Linked DNA regions of Cricetulus griseus. The protein of the gene in region 1 interacts with the protein of each later gene in a pairwise test. Links are inferred from orthologs where the notes say so. Each region holds a gene or a part of one and is shown on either strand. Other genes may lie near its edges.

Evidence for each region.
Region 2: the proteins of Creb3l1 (region 1) and Fxyd6 interact in binary tests that used the Homo sapiens proteins (3 or more experiments, as listed by UniProt). The two-hybrid records come from large-scale screens. The link is inferred for Cricetulus griseus from reciprocal best matches to the Homo sapiens genes CREB3L1 and FXYD6.
Region 3: the proteins of Creb3l1 (region 1) and Plp1 interact in binary tests that used the Homo sapiens proteins (3 or more experiments, as listed by UniProt). The two-hybrid records come from large-scale screens. The link is inferred for Cricetulus griseus from reciprocal best matches to the Homo sapiens genes CREB3L1 and PLP1.
Region 4: the proteins of Creb3l1 (region 1) and Pgap2 interact in binary tests that used the Homo sapiens proteins (3 or more experiments, as listed by UniProt). The two-hybrid records come from large-scale screens. The link is inferred for Cricetulus griseus from reciprocal best matches to the Homo sapiens genes CREB3L1 and PGAP2.

What each region holds. Positions count from the first base shown.
Region 1 is NC_048599.1:84,760,036-84,763,062, forward strand, and holds the end of Creb3l1 (cyclic AMP-responsive element-binding protein 3-like protein 1), read left to right. Parts: intron 1-1,738; coding exon 1,739-2,006; intron 2,007-2,178; coding exon of another isoform or gene 2,179-2,215; coding exon 2,216-2,507; 3' UTR 2,508-2,527; downstream 2,528-3,027.
Region 2 is NC_048597.1:157,101,709-157,105,640, reverse strand, and holds the start of Fxyd6 (FXYD domain-containing ion transport regulator 6), read right to left. Parts: upstream 2,801-3,932; coding exon 2,746-2,800; intron 2,169-2,745; coding exon 2,130-2,168; intron 2,025-2,129; coding exon 1,950-2,024; intron 1,259-1,949; coding exon 1,222-1,258; intron 131-1,221; coding exon 81-130; intron 1-80. UniProt on the Homo sapiens protein: Associates with and regulates the activity of the sodium/potassium-transporting ATPase (NKA) which catalyzes the hydrolysis of ATP coupled with the exchange of Na(+) and K(+) ions across the plasma membrane.
Region 3 is NC_048604.1:43,613,161-43,617,329, forward strand, and holds the start of Plp1 (myelin proteolipid protein), read right to left. Parts: upstream 2,801-4,169; 5' UTR 2,694-2,800; intron 1,919-2,693; 5' UTR 1,811-1,918; intron 1-1,810. Other genes in the region: glycine receptor subunit alpha-4, read left to right, coding at 3,707-3,774.
Region 4 is NC_048596.1:97,173,914-97,177,960, forward strand, and holds the start of Pgap2 (post-GPI attachment to proteins factor 2), read right to left. Parts: upstream 2,801-4,047; 5' UTR 2,744-2,800; intron 1-2,743.

The DNA.
Region 1 (3,027 bases):
TTATGCACAGTGGTTCTGGTGCTCACAGTAGGTGAGCATAAGCCCTGCCTTCGGGACTAGCTCCTGACATGAGAGGAAAGACAGGGCAGGAACAGCAAGGGAAAGTCAGTACAGGGGACAGCAAAGAACAGCACGGCTTTCAGAGGCAGAGGCCGCTTCAGGTGGGCCCATGGAGGAACTTGCAGGCCCTGCTTCACACACCAGAAGCATGTATCAGACGTGGCAGAAGAGAAAGAGGAAACAGAAGAGGTCAGAGAGAGGGGAGAGCAGGGAGGAGTGTGTTAGGAGGAGGGGTACTGCAGGGAGGATAAGCAAGACACTGAGGGCCTGGAAGGGAGGAAGGGAGCTGGAAGGAGGACTAAGAGGAAGAGGGATTGGAAGCCACTCCAGGAGGGCTGTGATGGGGTGGGGTGGGAGGAGTACCTAGGCTCTGAGAGGCCTGAGGAGAGGACTGACCACACAGGGGGCGGGTGGGGGTCGCGCTGATGGACATAACCCACTGAGGGGAAAGCAGGGCACAGGGCAGGGTAGAGGGCATGTCTGAGGAAGGAGGTGGCTTGTTGAGCAGGCTGGTTTCCGGACTGCAGCTTCACACAATGCCAGGGGCCGCCTTTTCCATAGATTAGACCCTGCAGGGGAAGCTGGGAGGTAGCCAGCAGACTCTGGAGTCAGGAAGCCAACTTGTAGGGACCCCTGATGATGAGCTCTGGGAAGCAGGGCTCAAAACACTTTATTTCCAAGGCTTCATGTGAGATTCAAGTTGCTGTAAGCTGAGAATTTTTGTATAATGTCTGGTACAGGTGTCCAACAAATGTCCATTTTCCTCCCCTTCTCTGAAGGGTGAACTCGCCTAGAAGTGAAAAGAAAGATTTCCCTTTAGTATCTCAGGAAATAAATGTCATGGTAGGATTAGAGCCGGCTCTCAGTAGGTCCTGAAGGTCTAGGCCTGTGATCCCAGTTTCTCAGTCAAAGCAGGGAAGAGAGTTCAAGTTTAAAGGTTAACCAGTCAAGCGGGGCATTGGTGGTGCACGCCTTTAATCCCAGCACTCCGGAGGCAGAGGCAGAGGCAGAGGCAGGCGAATCTCTGTGAGTTCGAGGCCAGCCTGGTCTCCAGAGAGAGTGCCAGGATAGGCTCCAAAGCTACACAGAGAAACCCTGTCTTGAAAAAAACAAAACAAAACAAAACAAAACATCTACAAAATGAATTAAAGACCAGCCTAGCAACTCAGTGAAACCCTGTCTCAATATGAACTTGAGAAAAAGAGAGGCTGGAGGATGGGAGGATGGACAAGCTGGCTCAAAATCCTGGTGGTAGAGTATTGGCGTAGCAAGCCTGAAGGTCTGGGCTTGATCCTTAGTACCATGGGGGCGGGGTGGGGAGGAATTCCAGTTTTCAGTAAGCAAACCAGCATTCTTGTCCCAGAAGTGCTGCGTTTTTGTGAGCTCTTGACTTGACTGAGCACAGTTTTAATCCCTTACACTGTAATACTCATTGAATCCTTGAATCTCCCCAAGGTTGGTTCCACTATTCCCATTTTACAGATCGACAAACTGATGCTCGGCAAAATCAGAGCCGAGTGTGTAACTAACCTGAGATCACACAGCCAGGGATCCTTAGGGTTGGGATTAAGAGTCAGGCCTGTAAGATTTCAGATCCTATGCCCTTCATGTCTAGCACATGAATAGGGCTATTTGAGCACAGGGAGCACCTATTGCTCACCTTGTTCTTTTCCCCTAGTGCCCTCCCGAAGCCTACTGTTCTATGATGATGGGACGGGTTTGTGGGAAGATGGCCGAGGCGCCCTACTGCCTGTGGAGCCCCCAGAAGGCTGGGAGCTCAAACCCGGGGGGCCAGTAGAGCCAAGGCCCCAGGACCACCTCCGACATGACTATATGGACAGCACCCATGAGACCACCAAGTACTTGAGTGAGACCTGGCCAGAAGATGCTAACGACAATGGCACCAGCCCCAACTTCTCCCACCCCAAGGAGTGGTTCCATGACAGGTGAGTAGAGGGGCAAGCTCCCAGGGGGAGGGGCAGGCTCCCAGGGGAGGAGCATTTTCCTTGGGGATGAGCATCCTCTCAGGGAGCGGGGATCCCTGGTCTAGACCCAACTGACAGCTAAGTGAGGGGCATCTCAAAGCAGATTCATCCCTGGATCGTCTTCTCTCCCCAGGGATCTGGGCCCCAATACCACCATCAAACTCTCCTAGGCCTCTCCGAGACCCAGGACACAGGACGGACACCCTGGCACCCAGAAGAGGCATTCTCTTGCTCACCGACCCAGATCCAGCTCCTACCCCTGTCCTGGAGCCTTCTGCCCCAGGAGAAAGGGTCTTTCTTCTCCCCAGCCATCCCGGTCCCTGTTGTGACTGGAGTCCCTCTATGTCCCCAGGCATTTGGACTGCTCCCCTGGGCCAACCACTCTGTTCCCACTTCTTCCCACAATCATCCGTCCTCTCCAATAAACCACTCACTGGGCCACTCCTGTTTCCTTTTCCGTAGTGACCAACACGACCACTGTTCCTGGTGAGGGTGGCAGTGGTTACGATGCATTGACTAAGCACTGTTTGTATTTTGGTACTGGGATAGCAGATGAGTGTCCACCTTTAGTCACTTCTAATATGGTAGAGACTACCCAACATGCAGAGTTAAGAAAGATTCTGAACACACACACACACACACACACACACACACACACACGAACATATGCACACACAATCACACACCCCCACCTCCTACTGTACAGAGATCAAGAACAGAAATTGTTTGTAAATAATGAACCTTATTTTTTATTATTACCAATCCCCTAAGATAATGTATTTTACAAATCTCCCTTCCATCACCTCTCCCTTATTTTGTATTTTATGAAGTTAGCGCGGGCTTTGCTACCCCTTGGCTGGGACAGAGGGACACCCCACCCTCACCTGGCTTCCCCATGCCGCTGCCCAAGCTGCTGGGCCTTTTTAATTGCCAAACTGCTCCCTCCACCAGCTCAGCACATGCTTTAAGAAAGCAAAATTAA
Region 2 (3,932 bases), on another chromosome or scaffold:
CAAAGCAGCTCATGGCACCCAGTTCACTCCTTCCCCAAACCCTGGGAAGCCCCTCTCCTAGCACTCTTCATGGCAGTTACCGTTTGTAGTGATGAGGTTCTCCACCTGGGCCTCTTCATCTCCTGGAGCCCTAAGACAAGAGGAGACACACTGTCATCCGTGTCCAGGGTAAACCATAGCATCTCCCCATTCTCTTCATTCTCTTCCCTGAAGTAGGGCTTCTAGAACCCCTCCCCTCAGAGCCCCTTTAAGGATTCAAACACTAGGTGAAAGGAGAAGTCAAGACTGACAGGGACAGAGGCAAAGAGAACTCAGGAATGCCCTGCAATGTCTGCCCCCGGTGGGATTTGTGCCTGCCACAGGCTCTGAGGTCTATGGCCACCATGGCTGTTTTAATGAAGGGGTGTAACTTTGTGTGACATAGAAGGAAGATCAGGTGTCTATGCAGTGCACAGAGCCTCAGAGAGAGATGAAAAGCAGAGACAGTGTATAGGCCCTGCACCTCAGAGCAGCCGTGAAGTCCTTGGCTTCCCTCTTAGCAAGCCTAGCTGTCTCAAAGGCCTCCGGACAAGGTTCTAGCACATTCTTTTTTTTTTTTTTTTTTAAATTTTATTTTATTTTATTAGTTCTAGTTAGGGAACAAGCTTATTTCAAGTCCCTTCTCCCTCTCCCTCCCCTCACCCCCAAACTTTCTCCCCCACCCCCAGCCCATCCCCCCAACCCCATCCACCCACTACTCCCCAGGCAGGGTAGGGCCCTCAACGGGAGCTCAGCAAAGTCCACCAAGTCTTCCTATGCTGATCCTGGGCCCTTCCCCATGTGTCCAGGGCCAGAGTGTAACCCTTCATATGGGATGGGCTCTCAAAGTCCCTTCTTGCACCAGGGAAAAATACTAATCCACTACCAGAGGCTCCCTGGAGTGCAGAGGCCTCCTTATTGACATCTATGTTCTGGGGTCTGGATCAGTCTTGTACAGGCCTCCTGGACAGCATCTGGGGTCGATGCTAGCACATTCTTACTCAGTATTCCTTCCCCGATTTACACCTGAGGCCCACTCTCCATGTGTGACCTCTCCTTTGTTCCAAAGTCACTTGGAAATCCCCAGATTCATACCTCGGCCTCCCACATTCTCTCTCTGAGACAGCCCACCGGGTTCACATTACACCCTCTCCCTGTCCCCTCTGCGGTTGCCCCTGTTGGCCACAGCCTTGGCAACCTCACCTGGGCTTCTGATTGAAACTGCACTTGCACCTGCGACCTGAAATGCAAAGAAACCAGTCAAGGTCAGGCTCCCAGCTGGGCCATAATCTACTGTGAATCTATACAGACCAAAGGCACCACCAGACACACAGTGGATGCCTGCACTACTACAGGAAGTAACCCTGGGTAGGGGGCAGGAGTCAAGGGAGGCCAGGTGCTATGGTTTAAATGGCAGATGCACCCCACAGGAAGTTGTGTCTAAATACCTGATCCTCGGTGGGGGTGCTGTTTGTGGGAGGAGTAGCCTAGCTACCAAAGTGGGTTGCTGCGGTCAGGTGTTAGAGGTGATAGCTGCTTCTGGTTATACCCTGAACTTTCTGCTTCCTGGTCAACCTTAATGAGAACAAGCCACAGATGTCTACTACCTTGGACCAAGCTGCTCCACCATGCCTGTCCACTATGATGGACTTTGCCCTTTCATACGGTGAGCAAAAATAATCAGGGTGGGAAATGCATAGGGACACTTTCCTAGGAACACTAGGAAAATGACATCTGACTCCTGGGATGGCCGAGCTCCTGCCCTAGGGATGCAGAGAACATCCTGCTCACCTTCCTTGTTTTACTGAGCACTTACTACATGCCCCGCCCTGTATTGGTCCTGGAGATACCATGGAGAGGCAGACCATGGCTAAGCTTGTACACTACCCCCATCTGTCTAGCAGCCACAGAGAAAAAGGGGACACACTTACTTAGGATGAGTAGTATCCCAACAGAGAAGAGGACCACAGCGAACACCAATCCCCCAATCCTCAGGGTCTGGTAGTCTGCAAAGGAACCAGGGATGTGAGGTGAAAGAGGGGCAGGGCCAGGAGGACAAGCTTGTCCCTCTCGGATGGGGCCACACCCCGGGGGCTGCTGAGCTCACTCACCATAATAGAACGGATCCTTTTCTTTCTCCTTCTCAGCTGCTGGGGAAGCAGACAGACATGGTCAAGAGGAAGGCAGCGGTGTTTCCTGTGACATCTTACCTGCCCCACAGCAACCTGTCCCCACTAAAGGACCCCTGTGAAGCAGGATCATGGGAAGATACGGGGGGATTGTGGAAGTTGGGTTTCCTGGGCTTAGGGTCCACACCCAGGGTCTATGGTATATGTGACTCAGCCTCAGTGGGTTCCTGAGGTCACAGCATGCCCTACATTTATTCTAAAAGGCCAGGTCTGTCTATCAACTCGTGACAAATGGGGAAACTGAGAGCAAGGGGTACTCATGACTTGCATATATGGTCAAGGTGGGTTAATTAGTCTAGGCTGCAGGTCCACCGGAGCTCAAGGTACCTAGAGAGGTTAACAGAAGGCCAGCTGGACCCATGCAGGGAGCAGTTAGGAACACCTCAATTGGGATCTGTTTTTCTCTGCTGACTAATGGTGAGGTCCCTGACCGGATGTGAAGCTGCCTCTCGACCCTAACATTCAAAACAGCCAGAACCTTCAACAGAAAGGGCTATGGCTGCCAGCTTGGCACAGCCAGGCTCTAAAGGATTCTTACCACTAGCCAGGACTGCAGGGGCCAGCAGGCTGCAGAGGATCAGCACCGTCTCCATGGTGTCTGGGATAAAGGAGGAAGACATTACTCTGGGGACAGAAGACCTTCCTCCTTAAGCTATCACCCTAACTGGAGCTCATCTCAGCCACAGCTGTGCTGGCAGCATAAGTGACCTGAGGCTACTTCAGATCCCCAGGACCAAGGTACCTGTCGCCTGTCTTATCAGACTCTCGGAGAGCTCTGGTCAATTCTATTATTCCAGATGAGTCAGAACACTTAGCAGGCACTATGATAAGTCTGGAACCGAAAGTTTGATGATAGTAAATGACCTTCATAGAAGGAATTGTAGGGCTGAGGTCATACAGGGGCTCAGCCACTCATTTAGCATGGGGCTTCTGGGTCAAAGCCTTAACACCCCAAGGACTCGGGAGATGATCATCCCAGTGTCTTTCTTCCAGGCCATCTCTGCCTCATTAAAATGTGGGGCCTCTGGTCCAGCTCCCACAGTCAACAGCCTACCAGGAAGTCTTTTTTTTTTTTTTAAAAAAAAGATTTATTTGGTGTGTGTGTGTGCGCGCGTGCGTGCGTGCGTGCGTGCGTGTGTCTGTGTGTGTGTGTGTCTCTCTGTGTGTGTATCTGTGCATGCTTGCTATATGTATGCAGGTGTCCCTGGATGCTAGAAGATCCAGGGCATCATATCCCCTGGAGCTGGAGTTACAGGCAATTGGGAGCTGCTTAATGTGGGTGCTGGTCCTCTGGAAGAGTGGTCAGTGTTCTTACTCACTAAGAAGTCTCTTCAGCCTCTAGGAGGTGTTTGTGCCAGCCCTGTAGTCCAGTCAATGGCTGGAGGCCACTCTCTGGTCCCCAAACTCTATGGCAAATCCTGACACTCATATATGACCTCCTTAATTGCCCCTCATACTGTTTCCTCTGTATTCATCAGCTTTCCTTAGAAGACCAGGCCATCATCCTCAAAAGGTGACTTGATTGTATAAAGGGAATGTGGACAAAGTTTTCTAAGCATCAGCCCCCAGTCCCTCCTTCCCTAGAAGACACTGAGTGCTATACCACTTAATCCTGGGTGGGGGTGGGGGAGAACCTGGATGGGACACATGGCAGAGTCAACTCCCGAGACATATGGAGTTACACTCATTACTTTCAGGGTCAGAGAGCAGTAGAGAGTGAGAAGG
Region 3 (4,169 bases), on another chromosome or scaffold:
TTTTCGAAATTTCCTTAAGCCTGAGAGTTTTCTCTGATTGTGAATACAGCCTACTTTTTGAGGTGTGTCTCAGTCTACTCTACTTTAATAAGTGAAATGGGCAACATCAGGACCACAGCATCCACAGTTACTGGAATAGATCCAGGAAGTTAAGCGAAATCTTTTTCCAATTTTGCCTCTTCAAATGTAGCCCAGAAGTCACAGAATTTATAAACAATACCCATTCTAATAATGAAATGCTACACACATGGAAGTTTCTGGAAGTCTGCTTGTCAGCAGGGTGCAGATGCAATTTTCACTATACTAGACTGAAATTGATAGCTTCTATTTGTTGAATTAAACATTTGTGAAAATATGTTTAATGCACTTTTAGCACTTACAAAACTACACTGATAGTACTTACAAAACTACACTTATAGAAGTAACTTTTATCAACACAAAAATATGAAAACGGTGTTTATTGTAACTTCTACACCACTTCAGCAATGTATGGAAGCCAGCTGTCATGCCAATGTAGCATCCAATTGCCAAGGTGGAAAAGATACAGTCCTTTTCATAACATGGAGATTCTTGTGCATCAGAGTGTGGTAGTGAGAAGGAAAAGCAGTTATAGGTCAAGGATGGACACAATTTTGGATTCTTCCACCACTGTCATTTCAGAGAAATGGCTTCCTTTTTAGTACAGCAGATTTTGAAATTAGCATCTCAGCTGATTGCTGCCAATATCAAGCAGCAGCTTCCTTAGCTTTTTTGTTTCCTTCTCTATTCAGAGTCTGCCCCTGGGCACCCTAGGAAGGCTGTACCTCTTCATCAGACCAGCCAGACATTTGCTCATTGCTGCAGCCTCTCATGAGAAAGAATCTGTCCTCCCAGGAAGCTGACCCTGCCATGCTTTCAGCTCTCAGGGATCCCATGGGGCACAGAGGAGGTGAGACCTGCAACAATGGACCAGTCCCCAGGGGACTATGCCTTCCATTAGCCAAGAATTCCAGATGACTGAATGTGAGGCCACGGGCCCAAGGGGCAAGTGAATAAAAACGACTTCCTCATTTCTCCTTATTACCACTGCCTCATGCTGGTCCTTTCTCTGTATGTCAAACTTATCATTCTGACTTGACAGAGAGTGACTCATAGGTGGTAAACTTGAGGATCTTGGTGCCAAGGGTGCATCTTTTAAAAAGTGTTCCCTAATTGCCTATCCTGTGCTGTGGATTTGGCAGATAATGTATCTCTGCTCTCAGGGAGCTCTTGACAGAGTGGGGGAGAGGCACAGAAACCAGAGTGTGGTATGCTGAGGAGATGGAAGGGGAGGGACCTGAGAATACACAAAGGATCTCCTAACTCAAACCTAAGGGCAGTGATAGTGTTTCCATATGTCTTGCTTGTCAAAGCAACAAGAACTCTGAGTCCAGATGGGTAAGATTAGGGAAGAATACTTCGTAGGCAACATGTGAAAATAGCCCAAGACTGGGAAGACAGAACAGACAGTGTTAGAGAAATCAGGGAAATAAAAATATGGCCAGATAATTTTAAGGGTCTTGTCTTGCTACCTGAGAGAAGTGGGGGTACTGTTAGGGCAAGGGAAGGGACAGGATCAGGGTTGTCAGAGGCTGGGGAAATTACACAAAGGAGATGAGTGCAACACTTTTCTCAACTTCCCAGCCTGCTTCTCTGCCTTGAAAGGTTCCAGGTTCTGCTCCTGCCTGAAAGTGGGTTATGTGATGCTTAAGGGAAACAAGGGGGAAGGGTGAGCAGGTGAAAGGGTGGCTAAAGATGCTACTAGGGTAGTTAGTATTTTGCGTTTACCCACCATATAAGCATTGAAGCATATAGCATTCTCAGTCCCAATTCCAAAAGCTCATCTTACTCATCAATATTTCAGCCTTTATTCCTGAAAATTCTCTTCTTTGGCTTTCATCTGTAATTTCAAAAAATCCTCTTCATTAATAATAACACAGCAAAAAAGGGAGATGCTGCACCACTTCTACACATGAGTGACTTGTTATTAATCCTTCTATATAGGCAATAGGACTCCCCCACCCCCGGGCAAAAGCATTCAATCTTCTCAAATATCTTTCTGGAGAGGCTGGATAAGATACTACAGCCAGCCAGGTGACAAATTGATCAGTACAAAGTGGCACTGATCCCCCCAGCCCTGCCCGGCACATACTTAACCTCTGCAAAGCAGGTAGGAGAGTTTCCACCAAAGAAAAGAACGTCTTTGGTTTTTCACTGCTATATTAAGGAGGAAAGTGTGAGAGACTGAAGATACAAGGGAGCTAGAGAATGAAAACAATGAAAGAGAGGGGAAAGAAAGGGGGACACAAACTTAGGAGGTGAGATCTAGAGAAGGAACAGAGGAAAACTGAGATGGAAAAAACAGTGGATGATGGAAAAGTTTGGGGAGAGGAAGAGAAGAGAGCAAAGCAGGGAGGGAGAGGCACTAGGGGAAGTCCCTGTGCTTCCTTAGATGATACATGGGGAAAATTGGACAAACAGGCAGACAGGAGAAAACAGAGCTCCTTAAGCATCTAGATGGCGCGGGCAAATGTGCAGAAAGCAAAGTCACACTCTGTCTCTCTTCCTCCACCCAGGGTTGTGTGCCTTCAAGCACTGTCCTCCCCACCTCACTTCCCACCTGTGATTCCTCTAAAGCTTACAAAGCCAATGTCCTGGCCATGCTTGGCCCTTACCTCCACCCAGGACAGTCGTCCCTTCCCACAAGCAGGCCTGGGAATGGATACTGAGGAGGAAGGATTTTGAGAGCTACAACAGGTGACAGACTCCACAAAGATTGCCTGAGGGAGGGAAACCAAGGGAGAGAATGAATTAACTACAAGGTTAAAGGGGGATAGGAGAATGGTAGAATTGGGCAGGTAAAGAGAGGGGCAGACTGTGGGCCGCCATCTTCCATGCCTCCATCCAGATGGTACAGAAAGGCAGCCCCTGCAGCCAGCCTCCTCTACACCTCCATTTGACCTGAAACTGTCATTTTTAGGATACCCTGGGGCTCCGCCATGACCCTCTGGGGCCTTTTTCCCTTAGAAAAAACATTAGGACTTTACTTTAGTACCCCATCTTGGCTCCAGGATGAAAAGAAAGCTGTTGGGCACAGGGGTAACAAGGCTGTCTACTTGTAAGCATCCCTCCTGGAGAGTTGGAGGCTGGACCTAACACCTCAGGCTCTCCCCAAGCAGCAGCTCAGCAGTCCAAGCTCCTCCCCAGAACTCAGACAAGCTGGGAACCCCACTCCAGCTGCTGGCGACTGTGCCTTTAAATTGCTGCTTTCGGAGGGTGCATCTAGGGGGATGTGGGAGGGAGGGAAACGTCTTTCTGCCCGTCTCCTTCCTCCCTCCCCTCCAAGACTCTCCAGGGTTTGCAGAGTGAATTGCTACCCAAAGAGAATCTTTTCTGGCTCCCTGACCGGCAGGCTGAGGGCCCTCCTCAATCCAAGACAAGTCCAGCTGGAGCTGGGTGGTTATTTGTGTCAGGTTCAGTTCCAGGGGAGTAGTTCTACACCCTAACTGCTAAGGACAGGGCAGAAAAGAGGCAGGAGAGGAAAGAGAGCTTAACTCCTAGCCCAGACACACAGGCTCCTTATTCCAGCCCAAGCTGGAGAAGGGCTCTGTGCTGTTGCCTTTCCCACAGGGATATCTACTCTCACCTTGACAGCCAGGCAGAGAAAGGACTACAAGGTCCCTGCAGAATGACAACTCTTGTTCCTGCAACGCTCTTCCTTCTCCTCTGGACCCTGCCAGGGAAGGTCCTACTCAGGTGAGCTCAGTGGGGTGAGGAGGTGCATGCAAACACTGGCTGGGGGCTGATGGTAACAGATGGGGCAGCTGGCACAGTTTCTTCTAAGTTTGCAAAAAAAAAAAACAGTCTGGAGGGCTTCGGGGGAAGGACACACCCTCCTTAGTCAGGACCCAGGAGCTGTCCAATACAGATACAGGGTCCCAGTGTTCGTAGAGGAGCTTCTGTATAATTGAATTGCATGGGTCTGGGTAGGGGCTAGGTGGCTGAGTCTAAAATAGAGGTCATTTGTCCTGTAATTGAACCCTTTCTCCCTACCAGCTGAATCCCTAAAATGAGAGAAACATATGTCAGATGCCTGCCAAAGAGGCTGCAGGTGGCATAGGTTTGCTACAGGACCACAGCAGGATGGAGCC
Region 4 (4,047 bases), on another chromosome or scaffold:
TTTCTTGCTTTTAGAGTGGATGAAGGAAGATGATAGTAACTCCAAGGGGTTGTTATGATAATTAGACTAGGGAGGGGGCTGCCTCCAAACAAAGTTGTTCTTCCTAATCAGGGCTCAAGGGGATTATAAACTACGGCTTATATGCTCACCAGAATAATACTTAATAAGGAAAGTCACCGTGGTCCCCAGAAATTCTTCACAGAAGCATTTCTCTTTCAATGTATCCTCCCCACTCTTCCTACAAGTACATACCATTTAAGGAGTCCAGTTTCTGAAAACCTACTAGCACTTTCAAGTGAATATACTCATATGCTGATTCACTTAAGAAACATTTCTGAGCCTCTTTCTCTGTCAGAATTTATGCTTTAAAAACTACTTAAAATGGGAAGTCCCATTGTTGTTGTTGTTGTTTTGTTTTGTTTTCCAAGACAGGGTTTCTCAGTAGCTTTGGAGGCTGTTCTGGAACTCCCTTAGTAGACCAGGCTGGACTCGAACTCACACAGATCTGCCTGCCTCTGACTAATCCTGGGATTAAAGGTGTGCACCACCACCACCACCACCACCACCACCACCACCACCAACCACCACCACCACCACCGCTGCCGCCCAGTGGGAAGCCCCATTTTTAAGGAATAAAAATATATCTACCATTTATTGAGGATATACTGTTTACCAGGTACTATAGCAAATGTCATATTCCTCTCATTTAATTTTCCCAATAGTTTTGTAAGTCAAGCAAAATTATCCTTAATTTACAGACATGAAAACTGAAGTTCAGAGGCAGTGGGAATTATTTCCATATGACTATAGTTAGGTCTAGATCTAAACTTGGGGTTCTCTGATTCTGAAGTCTTCAATTCTATCATTTCCCAGGTAAAACAATAATTCACTCATCTATGCATTAAATATGTAAATGTAAAGCATATTCAATGTGTGCCAGGCTTTATGGACACTAAATGTTCATAGGCAGGCTTAAAATGTAGTTATATTTGCAGACTGAAGCACCAAAAAATCAGAGGTTTGGGATGGTGTTGAGAAAGCTACTGTAATGAACATCAGAAGAGGAGGAGGAGGAAGGAAGAAGGTAGAGGATGAGGAAGAATAAAGAATGAAGACAGAAGAAGGAAGAAGAGGAGGAAGAAGGAAGAAGAAGAAAGCAGCAGCAGCAGCAGCAGCAGCAGCAGCTGGGCACTGGTGGCTTGTGGCTTTAATCCCAGCACTCTGGAGGCAGAGGAGGGTGGATCTCTGAGTTGAAGCCAGCCTGATCACTCTACAGAGTGAGTTCTAGGACAGACAGGGTTACACGGAGAAACCCTTTTTCAAAAAATAAAAAATAAAACCAAACCAAACCAAACCAAAAAACCCATAAATAGAAAGAACCCTAATGATTGTTGTCACCTGTTTTGTTCTTGAGACAGTTTCATTTATACCAGGCTGGCATTACACCCTACCTGCTAATGACATTCTGATTCAGAGCAAAGGCAAGGACCGTTGGTAGAAAAGCAGGGCTATTTGGACAGAGGGGATTAGATCAGGGAAGGTGGCTGCAGATGGATGCTCAAACTAGCTTCCTGTCAGGCAATCTATACATTAACTTTTCTTCCAAGTATATACTGAACACATACAATGTATCACACTTCTTCCACTTACTATCTTATTTCATCTTCACACTACTTCATTTAAAAAACTGTATTGCATTTGTTTATTTTGTATGAGTGCATATATGTGTGTGTGTGTTTGTGCTATGTATGGATGTCAGAAGACAATTTTCGGAGTTGATTCTTTCCTTTCACTATGTAAGGCCCAAGGATGGGAACTATGGTCACCAGGCTTGGCAAGAAGTGTGTTTACCTGAGCGATCTTGCCGCCATTTGATCCTCCTACCTCCACCTCTGAAATGCTGGGATTATAGGTGTGCACCACTAAATCCAGTTTATGTGGTGCTGGGAATTGAATACAGGGCTTTGCACATGGCAGGCAAGCACTCTATCAACTGAGCTACAGCCCCTACCCACCCCAAAACCACTTCATCTTTAAGATGTTTCTAATTCCCTTTACTTCCAAAAACACTGAGGGATTCATTTAAAATTCTTAGCAAATATCGTTTCAGTTGTCTACTGCTGTCCCTGGTGGTGGTGGAAAGGTAGTATGCACGCTTGTTTTCTGAGCACAGTCCTGCTCCTCTGTGAGACCTCAATAACGAGACAGGTCTGATTTCTAGAACATGCCCACTCCTCTGCTCTTAGCTAGATCCCAGGAGGAAACAGACACCAAAAGGATGAAAACGCAACTTTGACCAACACCAGGGGAGGGAGGAGTCTAAGAATAGAAAAATAAGATACAAAGTAACAAGTCCTGATAAGAGGACCGCCCAGGCATCACCCCAACTTGTTGAGGTTAGCAAATGCGTCCTGGAGAAGGCAGTACATTTGCACCCAATCCATCCAGAACAGCACAGGTTCTGAAGCTGCAGCTGAAGCAGAACCCTCATTGGGATCAAGCCTTATAATAGACCATTGCTCAGATCTACCTTAGAGATTCAGAGGAAAGGATGTGAGAAGACTTGCTTGGACCGGCAAGAACAACAGTGGGGACTGAGGGTCTCTGAAGGGCTGCTGATAAGCCACATGGATTGATAGGTATCCCAAAAGGGTTTTCAAGCTCCGAAAGTGCCAGCTGGGTGGCCTGAGAGCCTGCCCATCATTACCCGCAGACTTGAACTAAAGAAGGGTAGAACAGTTACCATGTCATCCTTGGGCCTTCCCTCTGATTGGCCGGAGCTTCCGTAGCCCGAGTCTCCGCGCTCCAAGGAAAGGGGCGGGGTCTCGGCACAACGTCACCGCTTTTTGGTGCTCACTATTCTAGCCACTCCCCAGCCCTCTTCGAGGGGCCGTGTGTGACGTCGCGAGTCTCTATCAGCCAACCGTCGCGGCAAAAGGGGTGGGACTCCAGGTCCCTCCCCACCATCCCTCTTTTTTTTTTTTTTTCTCCCCACCCAATTCCTCACGCCCCTCCTCTTCCCCTCTACTCCTTCTCAGAGACCGCCTTCACGTTCGGTTTCAAAAGGCTCGTCGCCCAATGAGTAACACGGTAGGCCTCGAGTGGCGGAACGGCCTGCCAATGCCCGGCTGGCGAGGGCGGAACGCCCGGGGCTGGCCTCTGACGGCGGACGGCGTGTGACGCAGTCGGGCCTCTGCGCGCTGCGCCCGAAGCGGCGGTCGGTGGCGGCGGCGGCCTCGGCGGCGGCGACGGTTTCCTGGTGGCCGCGCGCTGCTCTGTGAGCGGCGGGTGGCAGACGGACCTGGGCCCTCACCCCAGACGCACCGCGGTAAGTCGGGAGTGCTGCTGGGGCCGGGCGGGCGGGTCCTCTTCTTTGGACCGGCATCTGCGCGGGACGCCCCGGGCCCTCAGCCTCCCAGTCTCGTGCGGGGCGCGCTCCTTCGGGCCTGCGTGAGGGGGCGGGGCCCGCGGCCCTGCGGCTTGGCTCGGGAGGCCCTGGGAGGGAGTCCACACGCGTGGGGCGTAGGCCAGGGGGCCTCGGGTGGCAGCCCACGCTGAGGGAACCTCGTTGTCTCCGGTGCTACTCATTCATTCGCTGGGTAGAGGTGAGCAGCCCGCGGTAGGCTGGCCCTTGCGGGGATGGTGCCTTGGGGACTCAGTGAGGTCCCCCCCCCCATCACTTCTTTGACCACTCTACAGTACGCGTCTTGTCTAGGGTTAACCAGAGGGTTGAGTGAGTCGGAAGTGCGTTAGCTTTTTAAGACATTGTCTGGCGATTGGAGGGGTCTGGTCAACCGAATGAAAGGTTCTTTTCTGTTCTGCCGCATGTTCGTGTAAACCGAGGTGAGAAAGATTGGATTCTTGAATTACTGTAGCCATAGCGTTTAAGACATTCTATGTCAATGCCCCCATTCTGCATCACGTGCAGAGGTTTTGTAAGGTGGGAGAGGACTCAGTAATGGCAGATGTCTTGACTCAAGCCTAGAATTTTTATACTATTCCACCCTCCCTGTATGTTCCAGTCTCTCATTATTGGCTGTTCTGTAT